4 linked regions of the Caenorhabditis elegans genome follow. The protein of the gene in region 1 interacts with the protein of each later gene in a pairwise test. Each region holds a gene or a part of one and is shown in the gene's direction. Other genes may lie near its edges. The genes, in order: cpr-5, dpff-1, hprt-1 and mmad-1.

Region 1 (6,633 bases):
AATAAGTATTTTATACAATTCCTTTGTCTCAATTTTCTTAAACTTTTTGAAAACGAAAAACAAATTAAAGTTCGAATTAATTACATTTAAATCAAAATTTTGGAGAACGAATATGGCTTAGGATTAGGGGTGGCGATAGGCCGACCTGTTGCGAACTATCGCCACCTCTACTTGCGACCTCAATGAATAAAGTGTCGACCTTGAAAGAAAATTCGAGTAAGGGAGCCATGCTAATTTAATTTTTATATTCAAAATTATGATTGGATTGTTGGTGAAGCTGCTGTGAAATAGCCAGGTCGACCTGTTGCGACCTATCGCCACCCCTACTTAGGATTCATATGCGCGCGAAATTCAAATTCAGCTACTTTCAGCCACTTTCGTCGATTTCAACGGCTAAATGCTGAATGTCAACGGATTTTTTCCGTTTTTCTTTTGCAATAACTGGAAGTTTGAGTACAAATACTACATTTTAAAACAATTTCCACATTGAAGATACTCCTTCTTTAAGATGGAAACGATTGCATACAGTTATCGAACAGTACTTACCATTCTCTCCCCACTGCCTTCCCCAAGAGTTTGCGCATAGCCAATAAGGAACACCTTGCCAAACTCCCCAGCCAATAATTCTAACTGACAAGTGACCCTGTTTGTTGCCAGTCAAATGCACATAAATTCCCGTCGTATATTGAAGAAAATCGTCGTAAACCTCAAAAGTTGCCTGGATCGGCCCATTTAGCATGACGTCACTTTGAATTTCTATTTGACTATTTGGAAGTTGATCCACAGAAACTCCTGCAATACACAATTTCTCAAAAGCTTTAACAAAAATATTATCTCGATGATACCATAATGCCGATCTTTATCAATATCAATTGGGTATCCGATTCGTGAAGTACACTTTTTCTCACAACTCGGAGTAGGTGATGTAGTATTTGTACACGCTGGGTAGGTCACATTGCCAACAGTTTTTCCGCATGGAGGTATAGAGTAAGGTTTACATCCAAACTGCGATTCATAGGATCCTCCGGTAGGAATACCGTGTTTCTGAATATACTGCCAAGCTTTGAATGGGTTCCCGCCTTCACACCTGAAACAGTGGGATCTTTTTGCATTATTATGCTGAACAGTAGGCATTCTCCTGATCTGATAATTTTTTAAACATATAAAATGGGGATTTTATCTAAATACATTTATAATGATCCAAAACGACCAAATATCATAATAAAACACTCCAAAAAAATTTCTGATTGTTAATATTAGGTCACCAAATAAGTTCCGGATCAAAAATCATAACTTTGTTCGCTGAGTAGCGATTTTTATGAAACTTTGATAATTTGAGTTATTGACCATGATCTTTCATTTGAAAACAGTCACAAAATTTTTTGACCACCCCAGTCCTAACTCGGAGCCAATTTTTTCAGGCATTTTTCTGATCTCGCTTCTTTTCAGCTTTGAATTGAGGTTTGTGTGCGGATTTTGCTTTGTTTAGAATACATTATTAGAAAACTACGTTTGGAAAAAAAATCCGTCCAAAAAAATTTTTTTTGGTTGGTCGTCAAAAAATCTTCAAAAAAATTTTTGTCGAAAATTCTAGATCTTTTTCGGATAATTTTTGAGTTGTTTGAATATTTCTTGAGATTCAAATTTCAAACTCAAATAATTTTTATGTGTAAAAATAGTTTACAGATGGTTTGGTGACCTAATAATTTCCGGCCAAAGTTTTGGCAAATTCCCACAATTTTGAAAAATATGAGTTTTTAAGGAAATCCAAAGCATTGTCGCATATTTCGACCCCTACAATGTTATAATATAAATAATTAAAACAAAATTAAAGTATAAAAAATGTAGGAAAAACATTTTTTTTTTGGTCGACTTCCAAAATTATGAGTGGCAAAAACTGAGTAATTGTCACTTTCTGACAGTAAATAAAAAAAGTTCAAAAATTTTTCGAAACGTTTTATTATGATATTCGGTCATTTTGGCACCATATAAATAGTTTTTAACATTTTCCCCACTGGCGCTACTCCACCTTTAATAAAAAGCACGTCTGCGTTTAATCAAACAATTTTGCAGTTGTTGCACTTTTTTCTCAAATTTGCATCACGCGCCGCAAGAAAATTGATTAAATATACATTTCTCAATGTTGAAAAATTTACGAGCTTTAAAAATTTTGAAAGTTGATAAGATAGAGACTTTTCTTCGCAAACTTTTGTTGGTAGGCAGACACGCCTCCAGGTTTGCCTGCCTGCCTGCCATCCGCTTCTAAATTTTGACAGGATCACTGGACCTGTAGAGACGTGCAACTACACCTCACCCTTCCCCACAGGAAAACATTCCCGTGCAACAACTCAAAAGTTCTTCAGCGGATAAAATGGTATTTTTAAATCCTCCGGAATTAATGCAAAGCCTGTCAGACATTGATTCGGCTGCTGCGAACGCCCAACTTGTCTCTGAAAAATTTAGGCCATTACCGTTCATATTCTGGAATTTAAAGCAAAACTCACTACATTCTGAAATATCGTTGATCTGTGGAATTGACATGCACTCCGGCCAACGTTCTCTCGCATCAAATGAAGGAGATAGATCGGAATTTGCTTGTGACACCCCGAAATTCTGGATTTTGAATCCTATAGTTGCAGCGTCTGTGACAAGAGTTTTCAGCATAGAATTCCGGCTCAGAGCAGGAATCCCAGCAGTCCAAGTAGTTTTTTGCGAATTCACATAATGAATTATCCGGTCAATTTCTGAAAATATTGCTTTCAATCTAGAAATACAATTTGTAAAAAAACCTGAAGGTGGTACTCCATCGGCTTGAAATAGGACTCCGATCAGGCAAATCAATATTTTCCGCATTTCGGGTTAGAAATGATTGATTCAATGCTTTCTTATCATTGATTTGAAGTTGCAAAGTTCAGAAAATTTACATCATATTATCCAAAAAGAAATGCAAGCGGAGCTTATTCGGTGAACAATGATTAACAAAATTGCTTCAAAGTAAATTTTATGCAGCTCTACTAAAATTCATGGATTTTCATAAAATCTGCTTTAATAATTCTGGACTAGGCTTATGCCTACTTTTAAGCTTATTCTTAGGCTTAGGCTTGTGCTTCGGCTTAGGTTTATGCTTAGGCTTAGGCTTAGGCATAGGCTTAGGCGTAGGCTTAGGCTTAGAGTTAGGCTTAGGCGTACGCTTTGGTTTACGCTTATGCTTATGCTTATGCTTTTGCTTATGCTTATGCTTATGCTTATGCTTAGGCTCAGGCTTAGGCTTAGGCATTAAGCTTAGGTATTAGGCTCATCCCTAATTCCTAATCCCCTTAGAATTTTTACAGTATTAAAAAATGTTTACATCAATGATCTATTCCGACAAGTGAAAGTATATTTGGCGCGCGACTCATTTACGTCACATTCCTTTTAATTTTTAATTCTTAAAAAAGATACTGATAAAATTAACTGATAAGAATGATGCGTACCGACTACTTAATGAGCATTAGACGCGAACCTTCGCAGACACTTCTCTCATAATGTGGAAGCTCTCCGCTATTCTTCTCGTGGCTGCTGCCTCGGCTGTGGTGATTCCTGGACACCGTGAAGCCCCAGCTCTCACTGGACAAGCTTTGATCGACTATGTCAACTCTGCCCAAAAGCTTTGGACCGCTGGACATCAAGTCATTCCAAAGGAGAAGATCACCAAGAAGCTGATGGATGTTAAGTATTTGGTGCCACACAAGGATGAGGATATTGTCGCTACTGAGGTCTCCGACGCTATTCCAGACCACTTCGATGCTCGTGATCAATGGCCAAACTGCATGTCCATCAATAACATTAGAGATCAATCTGACTGCGGTTCCTGCTGGGCGTTCGCCGCTGCTGAAGCTATCTCCGACAGAACATGCATTGCCTCCAATGGAGCCGTTAACACTTTGCTCTCATCTGAAGATCTGCTCTCGTGCTGCACCGGAATGTTCAGCTGCGGAAATGGGTAAGGCTCCGATTCTGATTTGAAAACTACGCGTCTACACAAAAACGATAAGAATCGACAAATTCCGTTTATGACAAAATGATCTCTAGCGCCGTAGTTTTAATCTCCAAAATCGAAAGTTCTTGCTGATAAGAACACAGTGATCGGCATGGACTCACAGTTGCTTTCAAAACCATTTTTTTCCAGTTGCGAAGGAGGTTACCCAATCCAGGCATGGAAGTGGTGGGTCAAGCACGGTCTCGTCACCGGAGGATCCTACGAGACCCAGTTCGGATGCAAGCCATACTCGATCGCTCCATGCGGCGAGACTGTGAACGGCGTCAAGTGGCCAGCATGCCCAGAAGACACCGAGCCAACTCCAAAGTGTGTCGACTCCTGCACTTCCAAGAACAACTACGCCACCCCATATCTTCAGGATAAGCACTTTGGTGAGTTTACACGTGTAAGCGGCGCTGGTTAACACTATGAAGTTCTAGGATCTACCGCCTACGCCGTCGGAAAGAAGGTCGAGCAAATCCAGACCGAGATTCTTACGAACGGACCAATCGAGGTTGCCTTCACCGTCTACGAGGACTTCTACCAATACACCACTGGAGTGTACGTACACACCGCCGGAGCCTCCCTCGGAGGACACGCCGTCAAGATCCTCGGATGGGGAGTCGACAACGGAACCCCATACTGGCTTGTCGCCAACTCGTGGAACGTCGCCTGGGGAGAGAAGGGATACTTCCGTATCATTCGTGGACTCAACGAGTGTGGAATCGAGCACTCGGCTGTTGCCGGAATTCCAGACTTGGCTCGTCACAACTAAGGCTGCTATCGGAACTTTTTTAAAATAATTCTTCAGGGAGATTTCCATGTGTATATTATGAAATGATGATAAATATTTTATAATTTGCTATGATATTATTTAAAGTATAACCTCGTTTTTCAGTATCTCTGTAATTGGCTGAAAAAAATTGGCCGGTCGAACTTTTACGAGAAGGGTGGGAGACGGAGCGGATTTGCTCAAAACCGGCCTGACGGCAGCAGACAAACCGCGGACTAGGGAACCCGTGCAGGCTGCCATGTTGCGGACACCTTGCGGCTACCTCCGCCTGCCACGCGCCGCGCCTTTTGTATAATATGGCTCTGAACCCAAAAAGTGAGCGTTGCGTAGACCCCAAATCTTTGATTTCATGCCTGTAGAATTGAAGCGAGGAGGCCCGCTTTCGGTGATCAGGTGTCAGGCAGGCCATCAGACTTTGAACCCGCGCCTGCCTCTTATCGAAACTACAGACGGCTAACTGGCGAACAAAAAGAACAGCCCGGAATGGTCATTGGGCCGATTTTCAGTTAGCCTGTGCTCTTTATTCGAGAAATTATTTGTGAAATTCGCTCTGATTCACTTCCAAACATTTATAGTTATAGGCGGTTTAAATCAAATCTATGAAATTAAATTGTTCAAAAAATCAATTTGACCTAAAACATATAACAGGATACTAATAAACTCTGACTCAGTGTAGAATGGACGGAACAAACAATTTCCCTCAACTCAACTGATAACAAAACTTCATTTAAGACCTCACCACAACTTATTTTCATTATTTTTCGAAAGATGCTGAAACTACTTCCGTCTCTGCTATTTATACTTGCTGCTTCTGCTGTAGTACTTCCGAGAAATAAACTATTTATCAATCATATAAACTCTGCTCAAAAACTGTGGACCGCTGAGCACTATACTACTCCATTCGAGGTGAAAAACCTGATGAAAGTTGAGCATGTGGCTGCACATTTGGACAAAGATATCAAGTTGGCTGAAACCGCAGACTCGATTCCAGACAGCTATGATGTACGTGATCACTGGCCTCAATGCATTTCAGTGAACAACATTCGAGATCAATCTCATTGTGGATCTTGTTGGGCCGTCGCTGCAGCTGAGGCTATTTCTGACAGAACATGTATCGCGTCTAACGGAGATGTGAATACTTTGCTTTCTGCTGAGGACATACTCACGTGTTGCACGGGAAAATTTAACTGCGGCGATGGGTGAGTAAGTTGATAAGGTAGCGAAAAATTTAGTATTGATGTGAATGATTGTGAAATAGTCTGACGTAGGGCTCCCAGCTGAGGCGCGAAATGCGGGCCTCACACAGGCCACTTACCGGCCGGCCTCACACCGACGTTGTTTGTGTGCAATGAAATGCGATAGGTGATTATTTGGAAGCGGCCGACACGTTCGGGTTCCGCAGCTTGGCGTGAAATAAGTAGCTTGGTGTGTGCGCAAAGTGGTGTGACAAGTAATAATTTGGAAACGGCCGACACGTTCGGGGTTTCGCAGCTTGACGTGAAACGGGTAGCTTGGTGTGTGCGCAACATAGCGCGAAAAGGTAGTTATTTGGAAGCGGCCGACACGTTCGGGGTTTCGCACTGCAGAATACAATCGGATACATGGGGCGTGGTTGACGCCGTTAAGCCGGCGTCGGCGACTTCATGGGAGCCCTAGTCTGCCCGAAAAAAAAAAATTTTTTTGTGCCTTTGAATTTTATGCTCTACTCATGTTTCAGATAATAATATTCAAAAAATTTTGCAAAATTTTTTGATCAGGTTTCTACTAGAATTTTTTAGTCATTTTGGCACCCTAGGAGTGATTTTTAATAATTTCCCCTACT
Region 2 (8,026 bases), on another chromosome or scaffold:
TCTCTGATAACATTGAGTCCTCTCTTTGCATCAGTACGAGTTGGATAATAAATTCTATGAGCACCTCTTCTGCTACAAATCAATGAAGACAGAATAACAGCAGCAGCAAGAGTATCAAAAGTGTCTGATCCCTTTCCAGTAGCTTTTGCATCTGTGATAACTTTCACCCACAGATCCGCAGGAGTTTCGAATTGATTGAACTTGATTTCCTTACTAAGATGGTTCCGGAGAAGCGTTCCATTATTATCCCAGTGTGCGGCAAGGAAAGCTTGCCAATCTGGAGCAACAACAAGAAGTGGTTGAATGTAATAAGCCTCAACAGATACGAAGTTCACTTTGATCGAGTGGAGAAGAACAACTGACATTGAACGAGTGAGCACATCGAATGCTGTAATTTTATCATATTGGAAAAATTAACATACTAATATCCTTACCGATGGTCTCAAATTGTTTTGTAAGATCGATTTCCTGAGAAGCGCACACGTTTTGAGTAACATTATCCGTGGAGATCATTAGGAAAGATGGTGTCAAATCATTCAAAAGCTTGTCCCATTCTGGATCAGTTGGATTTGTGAAGAACAACAAATCTCGAGCGTGTGGACCATTTGCCAAATGTGCAAGAGCAGTAGATCGGGCAAATGAGAGAGTTGTGTCCTTTGCAAATTGAGTAGTCAGATCAGAAAAGACAACAAGCTTGAATCGTCCTCCAATATCGACAAATTGTTGTAGGAAACGATCGATTTGTTTGTTGAGAACCATAGATTGACCGGCTACATCCCAGTTGTGATAACTGTGAGCAGCACATTCAACAATCAACGAGTCAATTGAGATTAAGAAAATTTCAACGTCAGCGAATTCGCTGATAATATTTTTGTAACTGCATGGAAATTGGGCGAGATTCTTCTTCATCATCGAGAGTTGTTCCAGAGAGAAATTGAGAACTTCCGTCGTTTCTCCGAGACTTTCCAAGTCATCCGACATCACGGAACTGGCATCTGAATCGTCATCAGAAGCGTTTTTCTCCGAACCAGCAACACTGTTCTCCAGAATTTGCACTTTTTCAAGGCTCTTAGCTATTGATGGTTGACGGGCTCGTGGAAGAATCACTGGCTTCTCTTCGACCACCACGTTCTCATTTTCGCTGTCTGTAAGATTTTTAAAAGTTGAAGCTTGGAAGGTAAGAAAACAAACCGCTATCATCCCAAGCAGCATTTGCAGACATCGTTCTCGAATTTATATCGAATTGATGAACCCTTTCCAAAGAATAGTAAGCTGACTTATTCCTGAAATCAATATTTTAAAATCAATCATCAACTAGAGGAAAGAAAAGGAAGTTTAGCTCGTTTCTTTCAAGTCTAAGACATAATTTTAAGATGAGCAATTGGATTAGGGATTAAGGTCTCGCACGGAAGAGACAAATCGTTGCAAACTATTTTCGTATCACGAACCGATCAATAACTTTTTTTAAAACAATATGCAGCACGGTAAGCGAACCGAACGAAGAAAACTCATCAACTCCATCAAAAAAAATCCAGAAAAATTCATTATTTATACATTAAATCTCTATTTTAAAAAGCTGAATAAATGGATATCTTTGGAAATCCCCCATAAAAATCATCACACAGAGAAATAAATTAACGGAGTTTGGCGGGCACACATTCTTATTATTTCCCAACAATCAAAAAGAAGAAAAGTAAAAGTGACCAGACTTAGTGTGAATTATAACGCCAACTCCGTAAAGATTAATATAACCTCGTAGGAAAAAACGTCAAAAAGGATGGGAATCGTTCGTTTAGATTGGGAGCTCCATACCCTTACGGGTTTGGACGACACGGGTGACGTAAAGATAGAAGAAATCGGCGTAGAGAACAGTTTGTACAATTCCGGCAACAACGACAATTGGATCGAAATAGTCCTCGGTGTAGTAGCGGTAAATCCAGTTGAAAATGTAGAGAGCGCGGTAGGAGCCAAGAGCGAACAAGTAGTGAGCAGTGATGACCTGGAAGAAGAAACGATGAATATGGGAGAGAGATAGAAGGCTCAATTTGTGGCCTGGTGTCTGCGTCTCTACACCAAAATGTCTAATCCAAAAGAAATTAAGAAAAAAAGATGTCGAGTGTTTGCAAACAACACAGTAAAACTTATGAAAAGAATGGATTAACTTTCAGTCAAATTTCATCAGGTTGTTATATTAGCAAAGTTAAAAGGCTGACGAATCAATTTGGACTACAGCGGAGATGTGCGCGAAATTCGGAATACGGGGAAAACGGTTGGAATCGGGAGAAACGACAATTTCTAAGCACAACAATTTTCTTGTACTATCTCCAATTTTGCCATCTCTGGATTTTACACTTTTTTACGGCATGTCGAATTGAGAGGGAAAATTTTGCACGCTGAAGTCAAATTTGGCGCATTTATTGTATTATTTATTATTTTCCAGATTTACCTCAGCGGAACCGGTAGACTGGAGAAGGAAGAGTTGTGGAAGAATGGCCACAGCCTCCAAATAGATCGAAAAAGTCCAGAGCAACTCAAATGGAGCGAAATCGTGATTGATGAGAAGAGCGAGGATCGCAGCTGGGACGATGAGAAGCTCGACACGGAAGGTATCCGACTCGCGCATGTAAGTTGAGCGGAATTTGAAGAACATCAGATACACTGTGGCGTACGTAGCGGCGAGGAAGGTGATCTGAAATTTGATTGTATTTATAATTGTTACGGACAGAAAGTTACCTTCATTGTAGTGTTATACAAAGAAATGTATGTGGAGAAAAGATCCAAGTATCGAGCAGTGAACACGAGAGCGAACAGAATCTGCGACCGCGCAGAGATTCCGGAGCACGATCTGCTCTTCCAGATTTTGAGCAGAAGGATGATAATCGCAAGCAAGTGCGACATATCTGCCGATATACGGAAGATGTTCATGATGACCCTAAAAATTATCATACTTTGAGAATTTAGATACATACATCAGGTAAAGAAAAGAAAACGCAAATATGAAATGAATTGGAAAACACCTATTCATTCCAGTGAATGGGTATGTTTTCAATTATCGAGGTCAACGTTGTTTATCAAAAGATAACGGATAGAGTGATAGGGAACAGAGAAAATTATATTATATGGACGGTAAAGTTCCGGAGAACGAACAGAAATGGTTTAGAGTTTTCCTTTCGCAGACAAAAAAGAGTGCAATAAAAGCCAGCACTGAATGTGCCACGTGGGAATTTTGAAAAATGCAAATACAACGCAACGAAGCTAAAAAGGTTTACTGAAAAAAACTAAAAAATGGAACTTAAAACATAAAGACAAAATTTTTAAACATTGAATGCAAAAACTACGTGTATTTACAGTTAAAAAACACATAACCCTGCATTCAACAAAAAAACAAACATTTCGATTCGCTAGGTAAAATGCATGGAAATATTCTATGAAAACTAGAATGTTTGAATAGAGCATTTTGTTCGAACGTTCTGAATACCGAATGTTTTTTTTTTGTTTTCGAAAGACCTAGATTTTCTAAAATTGTAGGCCTACATGAACTTTTCAACCATTTTTTGGTATTCACATAATGCGTAGCTACATATTAATCAATTATCGCAAAAAATTTAAACTGTTTAATTGAAAAACGAAACGTTTTAGGCCGGAAACGAAGAAGAAAACTCGAGCCAAAAGGTCCATCAGCCAACGAGTCCACGCTGGACAATACGCAATTTCGCGTGTTGGTGTTTGCGTACATCGGCAGCTGTCCAATTTATCGATCAGTGTTCATTCATTCTCTTGTTTTTTTTGTTTGTTCACACCGGGCGCCCGATTTCTTGAGCTATCAAAATGTTTAAAAATAATCCAAGACAGCTAATCTTACAGACAATGATCTCGGAAAACGGATATATGGACCTGATGCGGAACTGCATTAAATGGAATTCCCGGCAAATGGAGGATCGTAAAAAACGGTTAGTTATTGATGTTTCGGCTACTTAAAAAAGATCCATTTGAAATCTGAATAATCTAAGTAATGATAAATCTTTAGAGCATTTAGGAATTATTTTTTGGTTGTACTAAGCCCCTAAAAGTTGCAGACTGCGGTTCCCATACTATGAACATCAAACGGCTACGGCCCAGCGAGAGTCTCGCTTCACAACCCGCAACGTGGATCACATGTATCCATCAAATGATCCAAATACTGTTGTTCAATTCGCAACCGAGAGATGGAAGAAGAGCAAGTCACAGCCACCATCTGATGCTGTTGAGATGAGCATGTTTTTGCGTGAGAATCCGTCTATTCAGGTTGCAATTGATCATCTCACTCCACAAGTTGTCGGACCAACAACTGGTGAGAAGCATCAGAACGATTCAACCTAATTTTTGTAGTTCGATTTGCAGAAAGTGTTTCTGATAGTTCGAACGACTCAACTACCATCAGACCATCCCGCCAAACACAGATCAAAGAGGAATATCGTGATGACTACGTTCTTGACGATGAGCTCTCTCCAGACGAGTTTGGCTCCGATGAAGATGATTGGTCGTCGCGTAAACGCCGTAAAGGCAACTTGGGGCCTGTTCAGAAAGCAACTTCGTCACGTAAAAAGGTTTCTTTATTTATTCAATTGTTTAAATAATTTTATTCTGACTGTTTAGGTACCAACAACTCGTTCCTCTGTCTCTCGATTGACCCCATCTCGTTCCATAGTGAAGGAAACAAAATATGAAGAACCGGAGGAGAAGACGTATCCATGTGACAGTGAGTGGTTGTACGGCGGATTAGCGAAGCCCTCTCGCCCAGGAGAACACACCATTCTTCTTGTCCTTTTTAGTCTTATTTGCCTCCCCCATCGCCCACAGCATGTCAGTTACCGGGAACACTATCATCATGATTTTTAGTTTAATTTTTCGTATCTTGATTCATTCGGTTTCGAGATTTTTCAAAAAATTAGGATGCTTGGAAATTGCACGAGATTATTTATGTTTTTGCATGCTTTAGTTTTTTTTTTAATTATGCATGTTTCTCCAGAGATCCAAGGAAAATTAAATCAAAAAAATGGGAAATTTGGTCTAAAAAATAAATTTTGGAAGATTATGTATGATCTTTTTTTAATATTAGTTTCATAATTAGTGGTGTGATTTGTAGTACTTCTTCACATAATTGTGGATCTTATCAAATGTATTAGCTTCCTTCCTCTCGTTATCAATTTGCACTAAGTCATAAGCCAATATGTATCCTGAATATCCCATTCTTATATCCCTCCTAGTATTTTATCCCTCTGTAAAAGAAACCTGGGCGAGAGGGACCTCAGTAAAAAATCCTGCGGCAACCGCTCAACTGATCAAAAATACATCTCTCCCACCCGGGACACGGGGTCTATCGAGAGGAAGTTTGTAGAAATATAGGCACTAAATTTAGCATGTACTGAGTGTTCCTGGAAGCTTATATGATGTGGCATAATGGGAAATCTGTGATTTGAAAATACTCTTTTCAAACCGCATATTTCCCAAGTCCTTTCGTTTGTAATTTAAAATTTTTGATAATTTTCAGAATGCAGCGCGAAATACAAAAGCCTCGCGGGTTTAAGCTATCATCAGTCGTATCTTCATGATCAAAAGTCTAGTCAACCACTGGTTAAGTGTAAGTTTTTTGCATTCCAAGCTATTTTCAAATGTATTATTTTTCAGTATTGTCTCCCAGTATAGAAATATCTACTAGCTGTGATTTCTGCAGCGGCACTGCTTTTATGAACAAAAATACAAAATTGCCAGAGGATCTCGTTAGTTGTCATGATTGTGGTCGTTCTGGTCATCCTTCCTGTCTTAATTTTAATCAAAATGTGACCAAAATCATAAAAAGAAGCGGATGGCAGTGTCTTGAGTGCAAGAGTTGCACCATTTGTGGTACAAGTGAAAATGATGTAAGATATTTTCTATTATATTTATAAAGTGCAATATTAATTGGATTTCAGGATAAATTGCTCTTCTGTGACGACTGTGATCGTGGATACCATCTTTATTGTCTGACTCCGGCGCTCGAAAAAGCTCCAGATGATGAGTATTCATGTCGGTTATGTCAAGTTGAATTCGGAGACAAAGCGAGTGCACCGGCCAAGAAGTAATGGTTCTCAAATATTATATTTATTCCAATATTTTTTGCATAATCTCGACCCGTTTGCTTACGATCCTCCCACACCGTCATCCGATTATTTATTCTTCATTTTCACTTGAACTTTAAGTATTATTATTACTACGTAATGGCTCATACATAGAGAAAAATTCTTGTTCTAAAAAGCCAGCCTAAAACCTCACTCACCCCTCCTTCTGCTACTTTGATTTCTCGCTCTTTTCTTTTTTGTACTTCCACATTTTCCTCGTCCTTTTTATTTATTTCAGTCTTATCATAAAAAAGTTCAATAAATACTATGATTCAAAATAAAACACATGTGAAGAAACTCGAACAATATTGGAAGTTTCAAAGAATCAAACGGAACATTGAAAATTCTAATTCAAATTACTATTTTCCAGTTTAATTGACAATTTTTTTTATTAACATCTTGGAGTACGATACAAGGTCTTACAACGATCGAATATATCCAAATGAAAAGAGATAGGCACCTTTAAGAAGTACAGTAACCTTCACGGCCCACTGTTTTGCAGTTTTCTTTCATTTAAGCTAGTTAAAAATATATATAATTGTTTAATTTTAGATAAATATTGTCACATCCAATAGGTTTTTAGAGTAAAAATTACAACAAATAAAATTGCAAAACCATGGGGCGTGGAGATTATATTTGGTCTTGTCGAGACCTGGTACTGTATTTTTAAGTGAAAATTGCAAACTTTCGTATCTGGGTAATATATCTAGTTTTAAAAAATCTAAAATTATCGTTTTAGAATGTTTAATTTACTTTGGTTGTTTCATAAAAAGAGAATTAACTGTTTGTATTCATTTTATTATCATTTTATCATCTTATCTGACCTACTACCATATAAATACCATAACATTATTTTATAACTTTCTCTATTCTTCTCTCTTCCAATATCTTTCACCCATTTATTTTACTTATTCATCGCCCAATTTTATGTCCCTTCTACTCTCCATTCTTTTTTGTCTTTTACTTGAAACAACACATATCGATTACACAATTGTGTTCTTTCTTAGAAATAAAAAAAAACATTTTTGTTTGTTTTTGCATCTCTATTTTCTCTTGCAGTTCTCCTCCTATCCCTCCAAATTTGGAGCTGATTCAATTTGCCGCCGGGGATCTCGGATAACTCTTTGAAGCCAAGAAGCTCAGACACACTTCCACTTCCGTCTCGTGTACTTTTGAAAGAGACTACTTTTAAACTATACTCGTGTACATTTTTGCAACAAAAAATAATGATCAGCATTTTTTTTTAATTTTATAAGTTTTGAAATAATAAATAATTCAAATCCAAATCACTCAAAAATAAACATTGGCTTCTTCACCTCCTCCTCACTTTTTCCAAAAAGTGATCGTTTTTGGAAAACCGCCGTTTTCCGTTCGAGTGCCTATTTCTTCCCTTTTTTTCGTTTTGTTCTTCTAAAAATTTCTCACCTTTTCAAGTGTTGACTTTTCTTTGTTTTGTTGTATTTTGAATGTTCAAAAACTTCGGTTTTTGTTATGTGGCCTCGAAAGGAGAAAACTCGGTCATTGTCTTGAAATAAAAACCGCACAGTTTCCCAAGATCCAACACTATTAAAAATTGCGAAAATTTCGTTAAAATCATTATTTGGCAAAAGCTTTACCGCTTATTTTATTGCAAAGTATTGCAAAGATATTGCAAAGTGACCGAGAAAAAAAACAGATGGCCTAGTTTTCCAAATAATTTTGAAACCCGTGAAGTTTAATCTGAAATATTCTGCCATAATTAATTTTTGTGATAATTCACCATTATACTTTTTCGAGGCAGTGGCCGAGTTTTATTTTTTAAGCGGCCATGAACTTAAAAACAAATTTAAAAATCCTTGACTTTACAACAAAAAACTTCATGAATAAATATATAATATATATTTTTACAT
Region 3 (9,609 bases), on another chromosome or scaffold:
TCAACCTAATTATGCTGGAAGACGAGCGAATTGTGATGATTGATTTTCCACAAATGGTATCAATTGATCATCCGAATGCGGAATATTATTTCGATCGAGATGTCACATGTGTTCGGACGTTTTTTAAACGAAAATTCGACTATGAAAGCGAGGATTGGCCGAAATTTGATGAAGTTGAACGGAAAGGGAATATGGATGTACTGCTCGAAGCGTCGGGATTCACCAAGAAAATGGCGTTGGATTTGAATAAAGCGTACGATGAAGGCGATTTTTTGGCACATTGTGAGCAGGAATTGAGGAATCGGCAGGAGGAGGATTTGGGGGAAGATGAAGATGATTCCGATGACTCTAAATCTATGGAAGACATTCAGGAAGAGCCTGAGGATCTCGAAAAAGACCACGAAGAGCTCCAGGCTCAGGAGAACACCGTCAAACAGCAGAAAATCGTGCTCTCCCAGACGACACGCTTCACAGATTGGCTCTCAGACGCCACAAATCAACTGGAAGCCGTGGATCTTGATGCTCTGAAATCGGAGGAAGGTTATAAGGATATTGAGTTGCCGCCGGAGGATTTTAAGCGTCCAGCCGATTCTGAAAATGACGATGAAAATGATGAAGATGAGGAGGAGGGGGAGGAAGAGGACGCGGATGGCCACGTGGCAGTTGAGGAGCAGGTGGCAAAAGTTGTGAAAAAGAAGAGAGTGCCAAGTGGAGCCAGAAGTGTTGCCAGTAGTGCTGCCACGTTTACGGCTGAAGATGTTAAGAGGCGACTGGCTTTGGATAGAAAGAGGAATAAGGAAAAGGTCTCATTTTTGTACCGAAAATCGAGAAAAAAAATGGCACCAGTTTTTGTCTGAAATTTTTGAGGCCCCACGAAAAGGGGAGCAGACCAAAAAAGGGATCTGCAAAAAGGGGATCTGTGAAAAGGGGAGATACGAAAAGGGGAGCTGGCACTGTCACTGCAACTTTTTCCTCACGAGGGACGAGGAAAAGTGGTTTCTAGGCCATGGCCGAGGGGCCGACAAGTTTCAGCGGCCTTCTATCTTGCTTTGTTTTTCGCCTGTTTTCTTTTGTTTTTCAAAGCTTTTTCCCGTTTTTTCTTATTAAAACTGATGAATAAATACTTTTTGCAGATGCTAAAACAATTTCCAAGTAAAAAAATTATGTATTCAGTGGGCAAGCAGCGGTGAAAGTGGGCAATGCAATATGATGGATTACGGGAATACAAAACCTAAACTTTTTCTGAAACATGATACATATGCTGCTTAAATGCTGAGACTACCTGATTTTCATAACGAGACCGCTGAAAAAGTTTTGAGGTTTTCAAAATTCAACTTTTTTGGTGAAAAAGTCGAGATTTTCGCACAAAAAGTTGAATTTTGAAAACCTCAAAACTTTTTTAGCGGTCTCGTTATGAAAGTCAGGTAATTTCAGCATCTAAGCATCATATGTATCATTTTTCAGAAAAAGTTTAGGTTTTGTATTCCCGTAATCCATCATATTACAATGCCCACTTTCACCGCTGCTTGCCCACTGAATACATAATTTTTTTACTTGGAAATTGTTTTAACATCTGCAAAAAGTATTTATTTATCAGCTTAAATAAGAAAAAACGGGAAAAAGCTTTGAAAAACAAAAGAAAACAGGCGGAAAACAAAGCAAGATAAATGGCCGCTGAAACTTGTCGGCCCCTCGGCCATGGCCTAGAAACCACTTTTCCTCGTCCCTCGTGAGGAAAAAGTTGCAGTGACTGTGCCAAACGCACAAAACGCTTTTTTTATTCTCATTCAACGCACGACTTTGTTATAACCACACTCCGTTATTACGCATCGCGCGCGTTGTTTAGCGTAAAATACAAAAAAAAGTCGTGCGTTGAATGAGAATAAAAAAGCGTTTTGTGCGTTTGGCACAGTGCCAGCTCCCCTTTTCGCAGATCCCCTTTTCGTGGGGCCTCAAATTTTTTTTCTCGAAATTTTTGTACCTGAAACATTGCAACAAAAAAATGTTCAGCCACGTAGAATCGTGGAAATTTTATCCATTTTATGGGCGGAGCCTGTTTTTGTCTGAAAATATATATTTTTATTTTTTGTGTTAAACTTTGCAAAAATTTTCAATTATCAAATTTTTTTTGAATTTTTTGAAAATTTCGATTAAAAATTTCATTAAAAACTTTAAAAAAAAACAAAAAACTTTTTTTCTCAAAAAAACTCAAAAAATAATAAACGGTATAAACGGTATAAATCTGGTCATTTTTGTACCAAAAGTGCCATTTTATAAGCGAAGACTGTTTTTGTTGTGAAAATTTTTTTCGAAATTTCAGAATGGGCGGAGTTGTTCAAACTTTTGCTCAAATGTGCAATTTTGAATTTTTGCACATTTGAGCATCCATTTTGTGGACGTGGCCAGTTTTTGTCCGAAATTCACTTTTTTTTTTGAATTTTGTGTTTCATTGTCATTCTAAAAAAATGTTGCTTTAAAAAAAATTTAGTTTTGCTGATTTTGAAATATTGTTCATAGAAAAAAATTTAATTTAAAATTTTTAGAAAACCGACCATTTTGTGGGCGGAGCCAGTTTTCGTCTAAAATTCCTTTTTTTTTAAAGCGAATTCTGAAAAAATTCTGAAAAATAATCACTTACGCGGCATCATAGTAATTATTTTATATTTTTTTGAAAATTGCACGTTTGAGCATCCATTTTGTGGTGGGCATGGCTAGGTTTTGTCCTAAATTCGCTTTTTTTTTTGAATTTTGTGTTTCATTGTCATTCTAAAAAAATGTTGCTTTAAAAAGAATTTAGTTTGCTGATTTTGAAATATTGTTCATAGAAACGTACTTAAAATTTGGAATAAGTCATCATATATTTAATTTCAAATTTTTAGAAAACCGACAATTTTATGGGCGGAGTCAGTTTTTGTCTGACAATATTTTTTCTCGAAATTTCTGTATCTGAAACATTGCAAAAAATTATATAGGAATTCTTTCGGTATCGTCCATTTTGTGGGCGTGGCCAGTTTTTGTCTGAAATTCGTTTTTTTAAAATTTTCTGTGTGAAACTTTGCAAAAATTTTCAATTATCTTTTTTTTTTGGAATTTCTTGAAATTTTCGACTGATCATTACATTAAAAATTAGTTTTTTTTACTGTGAAATCCTTAAATTTTTTGGAAAATACGTTTTTTTACAAAAAAAAAAATTCACAAAAATCTCAAAAATTAATAAAAAAGTATTTAATTTCTACTTTACTGTAATTTATTAATATTTTCCTTCCAAACTCGTAAAACTCTTTTAAAAAAATTCTGAAATCCTTCCAACCTTCAGTATAAATCAATATACCACAAAAATTTCTAAAATTTATCCAAAAATTCCAGATTCGACTGAAGGTCAAAGGAAAGCAAAGCGCAGTGGGCCGTAACCGAAAAGACAATAAAGATGTGATTGCCGAGTACGCTGGATGGATTTGATGATTTAATAATTGTTCTCGTTTTTCCCGGAAAATTCGTTTTTTCTATTCTTTTTCACCTGTTATTATTACCATTGTTATATGTTTTTTGTTCTGTTAACTTCTCCCCTTCAATATAAACGAAATGATGCGTTTTTTTTCGATTAAAATGCAACATTTATCGTTGACACGTTCGTAACTTTCATCGTCGCGCCGTCTATTTCAACTGATAAGATAATCTGATCAATCTTCTTTTTTTTTTTGATTGATAAGATAATATTGTCTCTTTTAAATAACCATTCACACACTTTTCTTTTTTTCAGAAAAATAGTTCTTCATTTTCGAAAATGGCTCCAACTCGTGCTGTCATTCCTGATGATTTTGAGGTTTGTGTGATTCAGATTTTTGAATTTTGAATTAAAATTTTCACGATTTCGAGAAAAATATCCACATTTAGCAGCTAGAAACAAAAAAATTCAAGAAAAGTGCTTAAATTTTCATTAAATTTGAATTTAAACAGTTTTTTTAGTTTTTGGTGAGGCTCCTAGGCTACAAACTACAACGATGTTTTAGCCTCGCCAAAGTTGGTTGAGGCTAGGAAACATTGTAGTTTGTGGTCTGACGCCTCAACCAACTTTTCCAGAAATTTTTTCAAACAATTTTGATTCAGGATTTTTAAAAAATTTCGAATGAAAATTGCCAAATGTGCATGAAATTTCCAAGCTTTAGTAGCTGAAAACAAAAAAAAAATCAAAAAATTTTAATTTAAACAGGTTTTTTTTTAGTTTTTGGTGAGGCTCCTAGGCTACAAACTACGACGAGTTTTAGCCTCACCAAAGTTGGTTGAGGCTAGGAAACATTGTAGTTTGTAGTGTGACACCGCAACAAACGGTGGTTCCATCAATTTTTGTGATTCAGATTTTTGAATTTCGAATGAAAATTGCCACGATTTCGAGAGCAATTTTCACATTTAGCAGCTGGAAACGAAAAAAAATCCAAGAAACAGGCTTAAAATTCTATAAAATTTGAATTTAAACAGTTTTTTAGTTTTTTGTGAGGTTCTCAGACTACAAACTACAATGATGTTCAGCCTCACCAAAGTTGGTTGAGGCTGGGAAACATTGTAGTTTGTGATCTGACGCCTCAACCAACTTTTCACTTTTCCAGCAATTTTTTGATTCAGATTTTTGAATTTTAACTGAAATAAAAAAACTGCAGGAAGTTTATAATTTAGCAGCTGGAGACAAAAAAAAAATTCAAGAAAAATGCTTAAATATCCATAAATTTTGAATTTTCGCTAATTTAAGTTTTTTTGGTGAGGCTCTCAGGCTACAAACTACAAGAGTTTTCAGCTTCATCAAAGTTAGTTGAGGCTAGAAAAAGTTGTAGTTTGTAGTGTGAACCAAAAATTGACCGAAAACGTGATTTTCAGTTAATTTTTGACATTTTTTTTAACAAAAAATTCTCGATTTCTATCCATTTCAGCTAAAAACTCACAATTTTGCAACCGTTTCTCCTCATATCAGCAGAAATTCATTAAAAATTACGTTTTTTTTTCCAAAATTTTGCCCAGAAAAACTAGTTTTCAACAATTAAAAAGAACAATATTATCCATATTTTTGTTCTAAAATAGTTAAAATCTGCAATCTTCAGTCAAAAATTTTCAACTTTTTCAAGTATTTTGTGAAATTTCGAACATTTTCAACATGGTTGAGGCTAGAAAGATTTGTAGTTTGTAGTCTAATTGATTTTTGGGCTAAAAATGTGCAATTTCATTTATTTTTAAACGTCGTTTCTTGCAAAATTATGGCGAAATTGTAAAATTTTAAATTAATATTTAATTTTTGCAGCTCCCAGTCGACGCATTCGACATTCCAATCTGCTATGACGGTGATTTATCCGGTGTCGTGATTCCGGAAGGTCTTGTTAGAGATCGTGTTCGTCGTCTGGCTAAAGGTAAAAACAGTTAAAATTTAAAAATTTCTCTCTAATAGCCCTACAACGGACTTCTAGCTCCCTCAAATTTGAAAATGGAAGAGATGGAAACCTCTTCCACGGCCATGTGTCGATTTACGTGACAATTGTAAAATCGTCTTCTCCTCCTCGAAGAGTACACGAGGGCTGCGTAAATCGACACACAGGGCCGTGGAAGAGGATTCCAGCTCTTCCATTTTCAAGTATAAGGGAGCTTGGATTGAAGGATTTCAAAAAATACAGAAAAATTTCAAATTTTCCTCTAAAAAAGTGTCAACGGAATTTTTTCGATTTTCCGAAATTTCGAATTATTTTTCGATTTTTCTAAAATTACCTTGAAATTTTGTGTTCTAATTGTTCTTTTTAGAAGACATTTTTAATTTTTCTCATGTTTTTTAACAATATAAACAAAATTAGATTAGAAAATCGAATTTTATGATTAATTTTTTTTTTCGATTTTTCGATTTTTGTTCAGATTTTTCGGAAACTAAAAAAATTTTCCTATTTTAGAAGTTTTTTTTACGGAAAATCCGAAAATGGACAATTTTTCGTTGATACATTTTTTTTTGAAGAAATTGAAGAAATGCGATGACGGAAAAGTTTCGAATAAAAACAATTATTTTCAGAAACAAGACTTTCTGCTTCAATATTATTTCTTTAATTTCTTTAAAAATTTTTCTTCTAAAAACTGCCAAAATTTTTTTTTTTTTTTTGAAAAAACTTCTAAAAATTTTCGATTTTTATATTTGCTGGAAAATTGATCAGAAAATTCTATTTTTTTTTTTTCTAATTTTGTTTATATTGAAGAAAAAAAACCTAGTCATCAAACTTTTAAGCTAATTTTAGAAAAATCTGAAAAAATTAGAAATACCGGAAAATTTTCGTTTTTCGATTTACACTGTAACTTTTTCCTCACGAGGGACGAGGAAAAGTGGTTTCTAGGCCATGGCCGAGGGGCCGATAAGTTTCAGCGGCCATTTATCTTGCTTTGTTTTCCGCCTGTTTTCTTTCGTTTTTCATCGATTTTTTTCGTTTTTTCTTATTAAAACTGATAAATAAATACTTTTTGCAGATGCTAAAACAAATTCCAAGTAAAAAAATTATGTATTCAGTGGGCAAGCAGCGGTGAAAGTGGTCAATGTAAAATGATGGATTACGGAAATACAAAACCTAAACTTTTTCTGAAACATGATACATATGATGCTTAAATGCTGAGACTACCTGATTTTCATAACGAGACCGCTGAAAAAGTTTTGAGGTTTCCAAAATTCAACTTTTTTGGTGAAAAGGTCGAGATTTTCGCACAAAAAGTTGAATTTTGAAAATCTCAATACTTTTTCAGACGTCTCATTATGGAAATCAGGTAGTCTCAGCATTTAAGCAGCATATGTATCATGTTTGGGGAAAAGTTTAGGTTTTGTATTCCCGTAATCCATCATATTACAATGCCCACTTTCACCGCTGCTTGCCCACTGAATACATGATTTTTTTTACTTGGAAATTGTTTTAGCATCTGCAAAAAATATTTATTTATCAGTTTTAATAAGAAAAAACGGGAAAAAGCTGTGAAAAACAAAAGAAAACAGGCGGAAAACAAAGCAAGATAAATGGCCGCTGAAACTTGTCGGCCCCTCGGCCATGGCCTAGAAACCACTTTTCCTCGTCCCTCGTGAGGAAAAAGTTGCAGTGATTTAGTAAAAAATCAGAAATCATATAATTTTCTCAGACATCCACGCTGAAATCGGAAACAAACCAATCGCGCTGCTCTGCGTACTCAAAGGATCCTATAAATTCTTCACTGCCCTCGTCGAAGAGCTCACAAATGCTCGCTCATCGTGTCCTGAACCAATGACTGTCGATTTTATTCGAGTAAAGAGTTACGAGGATCAAATGAGTACTGGACAAATTCAAATAATGGGACTATCGAATTTGGATGAGCTCAAGGGGAAAAGTGTGCTCGTTGTGGATGATATTTCGGATACCGGAAGAACTCTTGCAAAACTTCTCTCAACTTTACATGAGACGGGCGTTGAGAAGACCTGGACCGCCCTTCTCCTGTCGAAACGTGTCAAACGTGTCGTGGATGTTCCAGAGGATTTCGTGGCTTTTGAGATTCCTGACAAATTTATTGTTGGCTACGGATTGGATTATAATCAGAAATTCCGAGATCTCGGACATATTTGTGTCATGAGCCCTGCTGGAATTGAGAAATATAAATCGGAATAATTTGGATTTTTACAATTTTTTTGAAAAAAAAAATTGAAATTTTTGAATGTCTAATTGTTTTTTTTTTGCTCTGCTATTCCTAATTACACTGTGATCTGCTTTAAATTCGTTATTAATTTTTTTAAAACAAATATACATTATTTTAAAAATATACATGTATTGCTTCAAAATTGTAGTTTTTTTTTCTAATTTTCGGTGTATTATGACCGTCAAGGTTTTGTCCTACAAAATATTTGAAATGACCAAATTTTTTCACAATTTTTTAATCGAAAAAAAAATGCAAAAACCACGAGAAACCGTAGATTTTTTAAAATTCCATAGAGAGAAAAATTGCAAGAAAAATTGCTTTTAATTAATTTTTTTTGGGAAAAATCAAAATTTTTCCGATTAAAAAAAATCGATGGTCGAGAAATTTCATTTGCTTTTTTTTTTTTTTGAAATTTTTTTAAAAAATCTTTTTTCAAAATACCGCGTTTTGCCAGTATAGCTTTAAAAAATTTTTTTACACATTCTGATAATTTTAATTTTTTTTCAGTTTTTTAATCGAAAAAATTCAAAATCCACGAGAAATTAGAATTTAGAAAAAAAATTTCGAGGAAAATAAAAATATAGCTTGAAATTAATTTTTTTAAACGAAAAATCTAAATTGTTTGATTTTAAAAAAAACGATGGCCGAACTTTCTCGATATTCGAAAAAAAACATGTGGCCGAGTTTTTCACTTCTCGGCCACCTAGCAAAACTATTTCATGAACACGAAATTGTGAGAATGCGTATTGCACAACATATTTGACGCGCAAAATATCTCGTAGCGAAAACTACAGTAATTCTTTAAATGCGCAAAATATCTCGTAGCGAAAACTACAGTAATTCTTTAAATGCGCAAAATATCTCGTAGCGAAAACTACAGTAATTCTTTAAATGACTACTGTGTCGATTTACGGGCTTAAATGGATTCAATTAATTTATTTATCGATAAAGTATTGAAATTCAGCTAAAAATGACCAAATAATGCGAAGAACCGAATGAGCCCGTAAATCGACACAAACGCTCTACAGTAGTCATTTAAAGGGTTACTGTAGTTTTCGCTACGAGATATTTTGCGCGTCAAATATGTTGTGCTATACGTATTCTCAGAGTTTTGTGTTCCCGCAATAAATAGAATATATCTGTATTAAAAAATTTTGGAAAAAAATTAATTTTTCATCCAAAAAATTTTAAGAAATAGGTCATATTTTGTGAAATCTAAGAGAAAATCAATACAAAATGTTTTTTTCAGAACCAAAAAAAAATGGAAAAGAGAAACGAGGAGCACTCGCGCAAAAAGTTCATCGAAGAGCAGCTAAATGCTCTGAAACATGTAAGTTTTCGTGGCCGCCGTTAAAATTTCGGCCACCAATTCAAAAAAATTAAATTTTAAAAAAATTTGGTTTTTTTTTCAGGAAGAACGAGTTCTGAACGAGACACGTACCAAATTGCAACAGCAAAAGTGGCACCTCCTGCAGGAAAATGATAAGATCAAGGAGAAAATTCGTGTGCGTGACGCTGCCGCCGGAGCCGGAACTGGAACTGGAGCACCGCCAGAATAATCGATTTTTAAAAAAAAATTTTTAATTTTTAATTTTTAATTTTAATTCAATTCGATCTCTCTCACCACCTATTCATAAAAAAATCAAATTTTTTCACCCCCTTTTTTCCATTATTTGATATCAATTCGCGTCGCTTTGTGCAATAACGCAACGTATTGTTACTTTCTCCGTGGAGCATGTTTGCATTGCGACTACCTTGGCGACGGCTCTGTGTATGTTCTGTACTTTTTTTTTGATTTTTTGAACTGAATTTTAGGAGTTTGAAGTGTTTTGTAATCGAAAAAATTAAAAATAAAAAAAAGGTTTTAAAAAAATTTAATTTAATATATTCAGCGTTTCAGCGGTTGTTGTGATTGATTTTCTGATATAATCGAAAAAAAAAGAA
Region 4 (7,328 bases), on another chromosome or scaffold:
AAAAAATTCGTAAAATGACACAATATTGGGCTATGTTGATGTTTAAGCAGATACACTACACAGAAATTATTCAGAAACCAGACGTGTGTTAAGAATTCAATAGTTTTGATGCTCCAAAAACATCAATTTTTACTTTTGTTGAGCACGGCAAATTTGCCGAATTTGCCGAGCTCTGCAAATTTTGAGATTTGCCGCACCCCACTGATACGCAAATTCTTTCAGAGTAAACTTGAAAAAGATGAAATCCGCGTTGATTCCTGTGCTGATACTTCACGAGACATCTGAAATCGACGATGATTCACTGGAACAGATACGATCACAACTCTACGAAACTGAGTCAATTGCCTATACATCGTGTGATGTTATGATGATCATTGGAGCAATTATGCTGCTTCTCGGATTCCTATTTCTCTCGTTTTCGGTACTTTTTTTTATAATTTCAAAATATATTTTAGGGTCTCGCAACGATATTGTTTTATATCGGAAATTTTAACAAAAAACACATTTTTTTGCAGCTCGGACTCTGTGACCCGATTCTCGGACGGCGGTCAAAACGGGCAAATGGATTGTCACCGGAACCTCTTCCTCCGTATGTTCCGAAGGGAGAACCCAACGGATACCACCATAATCATGCCTACATGTGATATAGCTAATTAGATCCTTGAATTTTTGAAAATTGCAGAAAAATCGATAATTTGAGTTGATTTTGAAAATTTTTGCAGTTTTAACAAATTAAAAAAGTAGAGAGTTATATATATTTTTTGATTTCCCTAAAAAATTCGATTTTAAAATTTTTCTTTAAAAAAATTTATACAAATAGATTAAAGAACTGGTTTATTTGGAAAAAACTTTTCGAATTTTGAAAAAAATCCAATTTTCAAACCTTCATCGGTTTTTTTCTCAAATTTTCAACTTTTCCCTCTAAAAATAATATTTTCAGTCTCTGTTAATTTTGTGAATATAGCTTTACTTGTTTTTCTTCCCATTTTCATCACTCACACCATTTCCCCCGAATCCCCGTTTTTCCCCACCAGCTCCTCACTTTGATTTGTTCAATTTATTATGCACACGGGTCCCCAAAATCCCCCTAAAATTATTCCGAGATATTCTTGTACCATTTGACATGTAAATATATATATATATATACTCCATTTTATTTTCCTACTGAAAATTTGAAAATTTCCAGATTTTTATAGAATTTCTATACATAGTTGTCTTGCACCATAAAATGAAGCGATCTTGTTTATAACTTTAAAAATTATTTTTTTAAATGTGGTCCAAAACCCCTTGTTTCAGATATTTTGCTAAATTTTATAACTCGATTTTTAATAATTAATTTCTGAAAAAAAAAGTCCGAGTGCCAGCTCCTCCCACTTCTTGGCTACCATTCAAATTTGGCTTTTTGAGACAATTTAGAGAAAATTTTATTTCCGATTACTAACTGGAAGGTTTCAAAAACTTCAAAAATATGCGATAAATAATTTTATTAAAGAAAAACCGTTCGAAAACTCAAAATTTTGAAAAAAAAGCTCGAAAATCGATATTTCTTTTTTGCAATTCTAAAAGTGTTTATTCTTTTTTAGAAAATTTTCAAAAAATATCGAGAACCTAAAATTGCATTCTTGGGTTCCAACATCACGAAAGTCCACTGAAAAAAACTCCGAAGTGGACTTTGAAAATCCGAAAACTTTCTATTCGCCTCTAGACAATTCTTTTTCACGTGCAACAACTGTGACCCTTCTTTCATCGTTACACTTGTTGTCTTTTCGCTCTCTTTTCTTGAATTGTTGCACTTCTCACGTTCACCCAACAGATTTTAAATCAAAACAAAAAAGTTGGCTTTGAACAAGACTTCGAAGACTTTCAGATTATTTCAGGCTTTTTAATGATAGTAAATTTGGATTTTTGGATTTTTTTTAACTTTTTGGCTTTAAATCTTTTCAAAGATTATTTTTAAATTTTATTTTCTTTTTGAATTTTTAAATTTCTCGAGTTTTCGAACTTTTGGAAGAATTCTAAGAATCGTTGTTCTTGTCTCGGTTTTTTATGTATTTAAACCTTTTTTATTTTGTGAAAAATTCGGAGAATGCGTATTAACTAACATATTTAACGCGCAAAATATCTTACGAGATAGTAATTCTCGAACACTATAGTAATTCTTTAAATTACTACTGTAGTGTCGATTTACGGGCTCAAATAGTGAAAAAAAAAATTATTTGCGAATAGTGGGAGTTACTTTGTTTTTTCGTATTATTATCTCTTTTTTTGCTTAGTTTTAATGTTCTATCGATAAATAAATGTTTTTTAAATCGAGGCCGTATATCGACACAATCGCTACAGTAGTCATTTGAAGAATTACTGTAGTTTTTGCAACGAGATGTTTTACTCGTTGAATATGTTGCACAGTACGCAATCTTAGAATTATGTGTTTAATACTCAAACACAATAAATTAACAATTTAGGTCAAAGAAAAAAAAGAAACACTTTAAGATTACTGTACTTCTTAAAAGTACACGCCTTTTTGATGATATAATCAATATGTCACAAGGTTGAAAAATAGAAACAAAAAATTAGGAATTTAGATAACAACTAATTTGATCAGTAATTACTAGTGTTCTCAGTAATAATAATAATAATAAAGTTCACATGATTCGTCGCGCTCGTTCTTCGGTTTCCCTTTTCTCGTTTTCTCGGCGGTCTCCCCAATTTCAGTGTTCTCTAACCGTCTGCGTAATTCTCCCTCTAGCTGTCACTCAATTTCCAACAAACATGTCTTTCAATATTTTCTTCGTTTTTTCTTGCCTTATTGATTTCTTTCGAATTAAAAGTAAAATTTTAAATTAAAATACAAGTTTTGTTGCAGGATGTTGTCCGCCAAAGGTCCCCAAATGCGTGCGTTTACCCAACGTGTTGCCGCATTTTCAACGCAGGTGAGAGTTTGGATAATGGCTGAAAAATTGCAGATTTTATCGAAAAATCTTTTGTTTCAGAAAAATTAATTTCTTTTTGATTTACCGAATAATTCAATTTTTCTTTTGAAAAAAAGTAAGCGTTTTAGCTGCTTATGTGCTGAAAATCATAAAATTCAAATTTTCAGCTCCAAATCGACCCAATTCCAATCGTGTTCGTCGGAAAGGGCACAACTCGTAAGAAATTCAAAATTTCGATCGACATTTTCACAATTTTTCCACATTTCAGCTCGCCAAAACTCGCTTCTCGGCCCAAATGACAGTCAGTACCCGTTCCAGGGAGACGTCTCGTTTGCTCACAAGGTAAATTTCTGAAAATTGATTTTCCAAACAGACACCCAAAATTATCTGATTTTTTACTCCAAAATCAAATTTCATGTAAAAAATTTGAATTTTCGAAAATTTACCCATTTAAAATAATTCCAATTTAATTTTAAATTTTTTCAAAAACTCAAAATTTGCAGCCATTGAGCATCCGCCAACAAGTGGAAAACTCAAAAATCGAGCGTGTGATGGACGATACGGAGCACAATTTGATCAATTTGCTCTCCAATACAAATATCGAAGTTGACCGTACACATTTGGCTCAATTGAAGGAAGAAGCAATGGAAGAGATTCAGGCAAATGCGGCTGACGTTGAGATTGAACTTTCCGCTATTGAAGCACCAAAGTTGCTCAAAAAAGGTGAGCTGGAAAGCTGGGATTTATAGAAATTCTGAAAATGAACTTTTAAAAAATTAGTCTTTCAAAAAATCGGAAATTGAGATTACGTTCGAGTTAATATTAGTGAAAAATTGAAAAAAAAAATGCTTTGCAGAACTATATTTAGCAGGGGTGTGCGGTAAATTTGGTAAATCGACTTTTTAAAAAATTTACCGTGGTCGTCATACTCGGCAAATCGCAATATTTGTGAAGCTCAAAAAGTGAATTTAAAATTTATTTTGAATTTAAAACTCATAAATTCAAAAATCATTTTTTTTTCCAGAAATGAAATACCTATTCCCACAAATGGAGACTCAAAAGATGAACAACGTGACCGTGTTCAATCTAACTCAAAAGTCAGAATTCGACATGAAAGCATGGAGTGAAGCAATGGAAGAGGAACGTGAAAAGCTCACCGCCTCATTCATCATGTCCGCCAACGCGATTTGCTCAACTCTCCATCGTTTCGGCTATTGGGCTGATTTCATTGATCCATCTTCCGGCCGCCCGTATATGGGTGATTACACCAATCATACACTTTTCGAGACCAATGACGCCTACAAACAAATGGGCTTCAAGATTGAAGACCTCGGATGCTGCAAAGTTCTGCAACACGCATGCTGGGGATCCAACGCATTTGTGGGAACTATTTTCACTGATGCTCCTGTTGATGGGGATGCCGTCAGGGATATTTTGAAGAAGGTTACTCAGGAGGTACAGGATGTTGGAATTTCTGAAACCGAATTTTTGAAAAAAAAAAACGTAAAATTATGTTTGAAAAAATTTATTTTGATGTTCTTCCTGCTATCTAATAATGATAATCATTTTTCAGATTTCCAAAAAAAGGACGAAAATTATGTTTTTATTTCTGGGATTCTACAAAATTTCAGAATTTCCTTACATTTTGTAATTTTTGTACGATTTTCGACTTCACAAAAAATAAAACAAAGTCTTAAAAAAGGTCGCTCTTTCAAAAACCAAAGAGATATTTTATTGAATAAATTTTCGACTTCCTTAAATAAAAAAGTTAATTTTTTTAGATTGACGAATAGAGATTCCATCGAGCAATTTTCCAGTAGAAGCCCCGCCCACAATATGCCATAAATATGAGTCGATTCTCCTTCCATTTTGCACCCGTTGTCCCTCGCTCCACGTATTTTCTAATTTTTTTTTGTCTGTAAAATTTTTAATTTAGACTAAAAATTTGCGGTTTTCAAATGAATGAAATTTGCAAGCAAGCACTGTCTCGAAATTGTAAATAATTTAATGGTTGTTTTTTAGAAAAAAATAAATGTTTGTTAGAATCCACAATTCACTTGTTGTCACCTTTTCAAGTTACTGATCTGACGGTATTTTTTAAAGTTTTCTTCTTTTTTGAACTTTTAAAGAAATTGGTTTAAGCTGGAAATTTGAATTTTCTAGCAAAAAAAAACATACCAGATGACGATCATCAGTGAGGAGGACGAGGCGGACGTCTACACGTCGCAGCGATCAGAACCCCCAGAGACACGGATTTTCGAGACGATGGGGTTTTACTGGAAACGGATTATGGTTTGTGCAGAATTTTTTTTTGCTTAAAATAATTTCGTGGCCGTGTTTTGAGAAAAACTCGGTCACAGGTTTTTTTCGTGATCGCTTCTAATTTTACAAAAAACTTTGAATACCCTACATAGTAAAAAAGTTTGTAGAAAAATAAGTGCTTTTCAAGAAAAAATACATTTTTAAAATGCAATTTTAAAAACACTTCCTAAAAAAACCACTTTTTCAGAAAACCCTACCTACATTCACCACCCAAATTGTGTTAATCTTCTGTGTTCTGCCCATCTCATTCTCCATCGCCATCTTCCTCGCCACCGCGATTCTCAATTTTGGAGTCGCTTTTATTGCACAAAGTGAGAATTTTGATTTACAGATTGGAAAATGGAAGAAAAACCTTGAACAAACGGTCATGTATTCAAATAAATAGAGAGCTCTCGTAAATCGACACGATACAAGCGCGCTCCAATGAGAATTTCTTTGGGCGCGCATTTGAAAAAGTAATAGGAACGCAAATGAAATTCGCGAATTTCAAGCTGAAAAAAATGGAAATTTGTTTTAAATTTTTTTACATGGATATTCGGCATCAGGGGCAAATTTGGAGTTCTTTAAAAAATATTTCCCAGATTTCGGTACTCCACCTTTTAGATAAATACATCGGCGATTTTTGAATGTCAAAAAATGCTTACTAGAAATTCAAAATTTAACTTTGGAAACTTTTCGACGGGATTCAAATTTTAAATATTCAAAAAAATTTAGTAGCAAACTCAAGTTAACAATTTGGTTGCCAGAAAGTTTTTGACATAAATTCAAAATTTAAATTATCAAAAAATTTGGCGAAAAATTATAATTTTGTTTGACAAAAATAATGTACACACTTCTGGAGGAGTACACCAGCCGCGTAAATCGACACCCCGTGAAGCTTATTCCATCGAAACATTTCCAGCCATCTCCACACTGCTGATTCTGCTCATTCTGATCCCAACACTTGCCGTCTGTATCACAAGTGCCATCGCCACCGCCTATATCCTTCAGCTCACTCAATCGATATACCTTAGATTATCCCAGTCACCTCACTCTTCCCCAAATACCTCATATCCCAGAATCCATTCACCTCCGCCAATTTATGCTCCGAAATTTGAAGTTGAAGAGAAATTGAAGACTTGTTAATACCTATATGTATTTATTGTTGTTTCAATAGAACTCCGAATAGGTTTTCCACGTTGTACGTTGTACTTTCCCCTTATAGCTACCGGTTTCAGATTATACATTCCTTTATTTATATACTCTTGTACCATAATTTAGTTATATTAATGATTTGTTGATAACTTGATAAAATGAAATAAAATTGAATACATTTTTTACGATCGTATTCGGTATGTAGAAGGCTGTTTATTGTCATCTAGTGTAAAAATCCTTTAAAAAAATATTCAAAATGAAATCTGAACTCTCCTGGCAGGTTTTAAAAAGGTTCAGCATTCACACGTGGTTTCAGGCCATTACGGAGTGATCTACAAAAAATGCGGGAATTTTTTGCCAAAAAAATGTGACGTCAGCACGTTTTTAACCATACGAAATCAGTTGAGAGTTCTGCGTCTCTTCTCCCGCATTTTTGTAGATCTACGTAATGAGACACTCTGACACCACGCACATTTACAATTAACCAAATCTCTTACAACTTCCACCACTTTGACCAAACTCTATTCCAGTCAAAGTCGCCCCATTGCAGCCGGGTATTGACGAACTTTAAACCCGACCATTTCAGTAAAAAGAAACATAATACACTTTTTGTCTTCTGTCTCTGTCCAATCGTAATTAGCAGTGCTAGTTGGCCCTGTATATCGTCCACCCAGTAGGCATTGATAAGGGAAATAGTGTATTGGAGGTATGGAGACGCAGAGACACGAGAGAGTTTTTGTTATCTTGTCAATGATTCCCGTGTCATTTACTGTCTCTAACACATCTCTTCTTCCCTCCTTCCATCTGTAGAGATTCTCAATCATTTTCTTTGTTCTTTATGTCCCTCAATTAGTAGTATTAGTACCATGTTATTTTCAGCACGTATCTATTTGTTAACTGTAGTCATCCTAGTTGTAGTGTACATCTGGGTTTTCCAGCTTG

Evidence for each region.
Region 2: the proteins of cpr-5 (region 1) and dpff-1 interact in a two-hybrid assay, tested with the Caenorhabditis elegans proteins (one large-scale study listed by BioGRID).
Region 3: the proteins of cpr-5 (region 1) and hprt-1 interact in a two-hybrid assay, tested with the Caenorhabditis elegans proteins (one large-scale study listed by BioGRID).
Region 4: the proteins of cpr-5 (region 1) and mmad-1 interact in a two-hybrid assay, tested with the Caenorhabditis elegans proteins (one large-scale study listed by BioGRID).

What each region holds. Positions count from the first base shown.
Region 1 is NC_003283.11:1,130,846-1,137,478, reverse strand, and holds cpr-5 (Cathepsin B-like cysteine proteinase 5), read left to right. Parts: upstream 1-3,442; 5' UTR 3,443-3,524; coding exon 3,525-3,982; intron 3,983-4,168; coding exon 4,169-4,410; intron 4,411-4,458; coding exon 4,459-4,793; 3' UTR 4,794-4,881; downstream 4,882-6,633. Other genes in the region: cpr-8 (Peptidase C1A papain C-terminal domain-containing protein), read right to left, coding at 547-792, 846-1,087, 2,315-2,450, 2,505-2,744, 2,790-2,853; W07B8.4 (Peptidase C1A papain C-terminal domain-containing protein), read left to right, coding at 5,580-6,010.
Region 2 is NC_003281.10:5,901,957-5,909,982, reverse strand, and holds dpff-1 (Zinc finger protein dpff-1), read left to right. Parts: upstream 1-3,860; 5' UTR 3,861-3,867; coding exon 3,868-3,950; intron 3,951-4,076; coding exon 4,077-4,330; intron 4,331-4,368; coding exon of another isoform or gene 4,369-4,380; coding exon 4,381-4,586; intron 4,587-4,635; coding exon 4,636-4,738; intron 4,739-5,530; coding exon 5,531-5,620; intron 5,621-5,667; coding exon 5,668-5,900; intron 5,901-5,951; coding exon 5,952-6,101; 3' UTR 6,102-6,420; downstream 6,421-8,026. Other genes in the region: putative helicase C28H8.3, read right to left, coding at 1-388, 435-1,145, 1,192-1,222; ER lumen protein-retaining receptor erd-2.2, read right to left, coding at 1,793-1,999, 2,447-2,689, 2,734-2,925. UniProt on the Caenorhabditis elegans protein: Probable transcription factor, involved in meiosis and stress protection.
Region 3 is NC_003279.8:14,653,612-14,663,220, forward strand, and holds hprt-1 (Hypoxanthine phosphoribosyltransferase), read left to right. Parts: upstream 1-3,743; 5' UTR 3,744-3,784; coding exon 3,785-3,823; intron 3,824-5,287; coding exon 5,288-5,393; intron 5,394-7,137; coding exon 7,138-7,637; 3' UTR 7,638-7,884; downstream 7,885-9,609. Other genes in the region: riok-2 (Serine/threonine-protein kinase RIO2), read left to right, coding at 1-803, 3,367-3,459; Y105E8B.6 (BZIP domain-containing protein), read left to right, coding at 8,927-8,995, 9,078-9,224.
Region 4 is NC_003281.10:13,544,541-13,551,868, reverse strand, and holds mmad-1 (Methylmalonic aciduria and homocystinuria type D homolog, mitochondrial), read left to right. Parts: upstream 1-2,863; 5' UTR 2,864-2,864; coding exon 2,865-2,930; intron 2,931-3,097; coding exon 3,098-3,146; intron 3,147-3,198; coding exon 3,199-3,272; intron 3,273-3,433; coding exon 3,434-3,653; intron 3,654-3,954; coding exon 3,955-4,385; intron 4,386-4,711; coding exon 4,712-4,723; 3' UTR 4,724-4,980; downstream 4,981-7,328. Other genes in the region: scav-2 (SCAVenger receptor (CD36 family) related), read left to right, coding at 223-421, 516-644; Y76A2B.4 (uncharacterized protein), read left to right, coding at 5,112-5,222, 5,440-5,563, 6,154-6,377.